Linked DNA regions of Arabidopsis thaliana. The protein of the gene in region 1 interacts with the protein of each later gene in a pairwise test. Each region holds a gene or a part of one and is shown in the gene's direction. Other genes may lie near its edges.

What was found. The genes of interacting proteins can lie anywhere in the genome.
Region 2: the proteins of HS1 (region 1) and AT1G16000 interact in a protein complementation assay, tested with the Arabidopsis thaliana proteins (one large-scale study listed by BioGRID).

The regions. Positions count from the first base shown.
Region 1 is NC_003074.8:5,880,162-5,883,737, forward strand, and holds HS1 (heat stable protein 1), read left to right. Parts: upstream 1-1,757; 5' UTR 1,758-1,804; intron 1,805-1,903; exon of another isoform or gene 1,904-1,915; 5' UTR 1,916-2,156; coding exon 2,157-2,296; intron 2,297-2,545; coding exon 2,546-2,735; 3' UTR 2,736-3,039; downstream 3,040-3,576. Other genes in the region: UPL6 (ubiquitin protein ligase 6), read left to right, coding at 1-58, 153-233, 342-415, 522-593, 686-775, 905-971; PMEI2 (pectin methylesterase inhibitor 2), read right to left, coding at 3,167-3,576.
Region 2 is NC_003070.9:5,492,603-5,495,910, forward strand, and holds AT1G16000 (GAG1At protein), read left to right. Parts: upstream 1-1,930; 5' UTR 1,931-1,973; coding exon 1,974-2,142; intron 2,143-2,455; coding exon 2,456-2,547; 3' UTR 2,548-2,757; downstream 2,758-3,308. Other genes in the region: CNGC7 (cyclic nucleotide gated channel 7), read right to left, coding at 1-238, 337-549, 637-1,210, 1,288-1,334; MGT2 (magnesium transporter 2), read right to left, coding at 2,860-3,090, 3,183-3,230.

The DNA.
Region 1 (3,576 bases):
GTTTCAGCAACTCATTCCGAAAGAATGGATCGACATGTTCAATGAACATGAGCTTCAGGTGCCAATTAAGTGTATAATTATACTTGCTTTGTTAGTTGTTCCCTCGAGGAGCATGAAGAGAGAAATTTTACCTTTGTGGGCTTTGGTTGCAGGTTCTCATATCTGGTTCAGTTGATAGTTTGGATATAGACGACTTGCGAAACAACACTAATTATGCTGGAGGCTACCACGCGGTGAGTGGTTCTTCACTGTTAGCCGAAATGCCATTGTGAATTAGTGTAGGGACACTTTTGGAGTATTGTTATATATGATTATATCGCTATGTTGTTGACACTTGACAGGGACATTATGTGATCGATATGTTCTGGGAAGTTATGAAAAGCTTCTCAACTGAAAACCAGAAGAAGTTCTTAAAGTAAGCAAACTTTGCAGTTACTACTACAGTCTGTGTACGCAATGATTTACCGGAGTCTATGAATTTTCTAAGGGAACTAAGAGGTACCTCTATTTTTCAATTTCAGGTTTGTGACAGGCTGCTCACGAGGACCACTGCTGGGTTTCAAATACTTGGAACCTGCATTCTGCATACAGAGGTAATATACACAGACTCACAATCGTTTTGACTTTTGATGGGCCCTGGACAATAGAATCATAAAATATCCATCCTCGATGGAATGTGTATCAGGGCTGCCGGTAGTGCGAGTAATGAATCAGTTGATAGACTACCGACATCAGCCACTTGTATGAATCTTCTTAAGCTTCCGCCCTATCAAAGGTTTGTCCTCTCATAACACAAACTCTTTGGTTTTGCTTAGCTAAGAGACTTGTTTTGTTGCCAAATAGCTTCTCTTGGTGTTGTAATTGGAAAAAGCAAATAAAGCATGTCTTGTTGTTAATGATGCAGCAAAGAGCTACTTGAGACCAAATTGATGTACGCCATAAGCGCAGAAGCGGGTTTTGATCTGAGCTGATGGAATAGCTTCCTGCCTTAAACACAGACTTCAATGGCCCCAAATTGACACCCTTTTTTCTAGCATTCCTCGTTATGGTATAAACCGGGTAACCTGTAGACTGAGGCAGGCTTGTTGGCTCTAAGCATCTAAGAGACGGATCTAGAAGGAGAACATGTAGTAGAGATTACTTGACTAATGGGTTTCATTTGCAGCTCTCGGGTATTCGCTTTCAAAAAGTGTGACAAAAAAAAAAAAGTGATTACAGGGAAGTCTTTATTTGGAAGCTCCTGAGAGTTAGTCTTGGGTTAAAAATTCAATAAAAGAAATGGTAAATAAGACTGGTCTCAAGAGGAACTTAAATGCTGTAAATTATTTTGCTTAATTAATGCATGTTACACAGAACATAGATGATTATTTTGATACTTATTTGCATCATACCATATATCTTCTATAAAAAGATGCATTTTAGTGACTTAGTGGTAAGAATATCCTTTTTTTTTTTTTTTTGTCATATGATAATTATTAAAACAGAAACAAAATGACAGAAAAATAACGAGAAATACAAAATGAAATTTAAACTTTACTTTCCTTAGACACTTGATTGTGAAGTCATGAAGGCTCTCCAAGTGCTAAGTAAAACTTAGACTGAAACCTTCTGTCTTGAATCACACTCCCAAGAAATGGAACGCGCGATCAGATTTGCGTTTGTGGCAATATGACGGAATGTACAAGATTCAAATGCACTAACAATCTCATGGATTTGTGTTAACCAATTTCTATAGAAAGGCTATTTGGACGGCTGCAAAACGGCGTTAAGTGCGGCTGGACAGTCCAACTCTATTATCACCGTGGTAAGAATATCTCTATATACATTTTTTGTCGCACTTATCATGATTAATCAAGTAAACATAATTGTTACAAACACTTTATAAATTAAAAAAGCTTCAATTCAATTTGCACAGAAAAGAAAAAAAAAAGAAGAAGATTCAATACAGAGTATACCAGGAGCATCTGGTAATGTTTATATCTGAGGACGTTTTATTTAATTTTTTGGAACGAAAACAATAATCCGACGATCGTATTTGCACGTCGCAAATCCGCTCTTTTAATCAAAGATCTCGACCGTCCATTTTTAGTTAAGACTTTAGAGAGCTGATAAGTGGAATAGTGGAGATTTGCATTCGCAGGGGATAAGGATCAAAAATGGAGGAAGCAAAGGGACCTGTGAAGCACGTATTGCTTGCTAGTTTCAAAGATGGGGTTAGTCCTGAGAAAATCGAAGAGCTCATCAAAGGTTACGCCAATCTCGTCAATCTCATCGAACCTATGAAAGCTTTCCACTGGTTAGTAAATTTGGATTCTGAATTGCTTCCTAGTGTTAGACATATGCTCGAGATCCGAAAAACACTTCCATCAACTCAATATGATTATGTAAAACTAAGCAATTTGGGGAAATTCATGACCTTCCTAGTGTTGATCTAATTTCCCTCAGAGAGAATCCATCTCCATTGATGATCTTTTGAAAAGTTAAATCAACTAAATCGACGAATCTGCTCTTGTCTTATTGAATTATTGGATCTGTATAATTTTAGGGGAAAAGATGTGAGCATTGAGAATCTGCATCAAGGTTACACACACATCTTTGAATCCACATTTGAGAGTAAAGAAGCTGTTGCAGAGTACATTGCTCATCCTGCTCACGTTGAATTCGCCACCATCTTCCTTGGCAGCTTGGATAAAGTTTTGGTTATTGACTACAAGCCTACCTCTGTCTCTCTCTAATTATCTTGTAGCAGCATTTTCATCATTGATCTTTTTCTCGGGTATGCATCTTGTATGTTGAATAAAGTATATTCCTTTTGAGTTTTCCTGCATTGTTCTCATGTTTCTCTGTGAATTTCTCTCTTTTTTGTTTGTTTGTTTGTTTCCTTCTGTTGTATTATACTTGATCTGTAAAAAGATCATGAGTTTATTAAGAGTGTTTGATTTCAGACTCCTCTTTGTTATAAGTCTATTACTAGTTGTTGTCTCTTAGTTTCTTTTATCAATAGAGTTGAGTTATATGGAATAACAAGTTGAAAAGAAACCAGGTTCTTGTTGATGTGTGGGTTGGAGAAAAAAAGTTCTTTGATTATATATGTAACATTTATGCATTACTGTTTAATGTAATCGTCTAATGAGTATGATGAAGGGAGATTGAATCAATCCCACTCTCACATCATGTTTGAGATGACAAGTACAATGCCACAAATATTCTGAAAATCACCACTGTTCTTCACAGCTGAAGGATCAACTTTGAAATCCGCCATGTCTTGTTCACATGTTGAAGGTCCTTCCATAGCTGCTGAAACCTTAATGTTCAACCCTTTGCCATCGCCTGACGCCAGGCTCTGCTTAGCATCATTGAGACTGCTTATTGCACTCTTATAATGTTGTACACATGAGGTGTATGCTTTCTTCATAGTGGGGTTGGTTGCTGTCTTGACTAGAGATTGAATTTTCCTGAAACCTTCTGATGCACTTGTTTGTGCAGAACCAAATGTGATATTTGCAAGCGTTTGAAGATCAGCACCTGAGGTCTTTGGGTTGGATTTCATGTAGCTCGTACAGAAGGATTGGTTTT
Region 2 (3,308 bases), on another chromosome or scaffold:
ATATAGCCTGACCGTATATCCCATAGTTAAACTTTGAATCATCTGCTTTAGCAGAACAATTGCTCTTAAGAAGCTCAGGGACTGTTTTGATCCATTCAGTTTCTCCACTGCTCACAAATTTAGTCCCACAATACAGAATCTGAACACAGAGTCGCGGATCTGGCTGAACTTTACACGCAAATCTCCAACAAGTATCGTTACGCTCCACTGACAACATGTACCAAAACGCTCCAGTTATCTGTCAAAATGTGTTTGTAAAGTCAGAAAGTGACCAATGATGAATAAATGTCTCAAAACACTAATTAAGAAGAGTCATATATACATAGAAACGCTTACGTGGCTTGCAAGCATATACCAGAGAAGATAATAAGCAGCACCAGCCCAAGCTCCTTCGGCAAAAGCTCCTGCAGTTTTCTTCAACTCTGATGTTAACGGAATAAACCTCACGAATCTCGGAATATACTGCACAATTACAATGTTCAACAATGCCGTTTTCGTTGGTAACACATCCGATCCTTTAGACCCGTGAAGAAACTTCCACACTGCAATCTGTAATATCCACACAAAACATCATAATCAATCCCAAAAGTCCAATATTTTTAGTAACCATCAAAGGATCTTTTCACTCTGTTTTACCTGCGGTAAAGGCAGCACTGCAAGAAAATCGACGACGAAATAACGGGTTAAATAGCGTTCAGCGATCTTTGCAGGATCAATCACAAGCTCACCACGACCAAACACACGAGAAGAAGGAGCTATATAAGCTGTACGAAACTGAAGAGCCATTCTAGTTAAGTAAAAAACGTCAACAATGGTTCTAAGAGTCGTCGTTGTAACAGCTAGTTTCGTATCAATCCCTATACAGCTGCTTCCGGAATTATCGACAATGGGAAGATAGAAGAACAAAGGATCAACAGAGACAGCTAAAATACACGAAATGACGAACAATCTGTTCCATACGAGAAGTGTTTTGTCTTGAGGATCAAAGATTTTCTTCTCTGTTATTCTTAAGTCTTCTGGAAAAACCGCTCTTGTAACGGATTTACCGATGGTTATTAGACCTTCTGATCTGATTTTTTTAACTCCTTCCCTGAAAGATTTGGATGCTTTCTTCTTTTCACCTCCTCGGTTCTTTAGGTTAAATCCGAAACAGTTTCTCTGCATCATCATTCCAGTCGCAGGAGAAGAACTTGAATCTATATCATCTAACCTGTAATTATAAGTTAAATGTCATTCATAGATCTGAAGAAAACAAAGAAAAATATTGCGATCTTTTGATTTTCTTACCTAACGAATTTTTCTCTTTGGCCGCTTATGTATTGGGATTTGTACATTATTCTGAGAAACAATCATAAGCTTCATGCAAAAATTAACCTAACAACATCACAACAGATCTCAATTATATGAAATAAAAACTGGAAAAGAGCTAATTAAGGATCGGCAACAAATACTTAAAGTGATTTGTAATAAATGTGGGAAAGTGTATGAATGATTAAGGAAAATCTAGGGCTTGAAGAAACTTGAGAATGAAGAAATTGAGGGTTCCTACTTAGTACCATAGATGACGGATGAATGATTGAATACTCCTTTAGATTGGACCGTTGTGAAAGTTGGTTACCATAATCATACACTAACTAACTTTTGATGCGGAGCGTATTTACCGCGTATTTTGACGAGGCGCGAAGAGTTATTATAGCTCTCTTCTCTTCTATCTAATTCACTCTCTTTATTGGCTTTCGATGAGTAGCGAATTTACCGCGTATTTTTTGGTGAAACTGTAATGTCAGAAAGTTATCACGCTTCTACACTAATATGTAACAAAATATGGGGTTTAAAATGTTATTCAATAAAAAGGAAATCTTATGTTGATGGGCCATAATAAGGCCCACTTATACATGGTACTAAAACCTCTGATGGATAAACCTTGTGTGCTGTTGATCGGAAAGGAAAAGTAAAAAAGAGAGATCTGAGAAATGGGAAATGAGACGAAGACCAACGGTGGTCCTGCAAGTATGGCCGGAGGCGGAGGATTCAGAGCTAAAATGGAACATTACGTTTACAGTGGTGAAAAGAAGCACGTCTTGGTCGGGATCGGAATCGTCACCATCATCTTCGGAGTTCCTTGGTATTTGATGACTCAAGGTCCGATCTCTCTCTCATCGTTTAATAATTGTATAACCAAATCCCTTCTTGGGGATTGAAAGGGTAATTGGTAGAAGATGAAATTGGAGGATTTTGATTGCAATTAGATTCTGATTTTGGTTTTCTTGCAAAATGAGAAACATGACATAGTGAGTAAATGGTTTCTCAGTATATATGGAAATGGATCACATTGTTTCATTCTAACATTCCCATAGGACCTGAATCTGTATATCTCTTACATCTGCTTTTGGTTACATCCTATAGTGTTGACTCTGTTTGGGCTAATTGGTTGAAGTTCTTTGGTTTCTTTTAGGGTCAAAGCATCAATCTCACCAAGATTACATGGACAAGGCCGATAAAGCTCGAAAAGCACGCCTCTCATCGTCTTCATCAGCTAACAAGTAGTCTGTCTGAAGGATTGAGTCATTTGCACACTGTTATCTCGTACTCATTTTCCCACACAAGTTAAAACTTAGTCAAAATCTGAGTCTTTTTTGTGATTTAGATTCAAAATCATTCTCATTTTCATGCACCATGTTTGGTTATCCGTTTTTTAATAAAAAGATCAAAGATTCTATCACATTTGGATTGACAATGCCTATGATAAAAATTCCCAAGATTCCATTGTGTAAAGGAAACAAATCATTAATATCTGTAAGCAACATAACAATATAAGTTGATGTCTACTTTCTGGGGAGCACATTCATGTCTCTCTTCTTATAGAGGCATGAGTCTTCTGTACTTGAAGAACCAGACGAATGCCGAAAATATCACAAAGCCACATACTCCAGTAATTATGAGTACCCATCTGAATGCACCTGGCTGATTGAAGAAGTCTATCTCAAAGTTCATCCCAAAGATCCCAGCAACGACCCCAAATATGGCTACAACAAACGTTGCAGTCGTCAGAAGCAACTCGAACTGGATCAGCTGATTCCGCACATTATCCTGCAGATATTGAAGAGGTTTTCAGCATGACTCTTGTGCATTCTCAATCTGGATTAATATCAGCTGTGGAAGATGGAATTTTGAGGTATTACCAGTTGAATGTTAATGAAATCTTCAGTGTCATCAATGTACTCCTTTAACTGTAAAGTAAAGAGAGGAACACAGATGATTAAAGCTGTCTAGCGAAGAAAGATCAAAAGTAAAAATGAGAGGAGCCA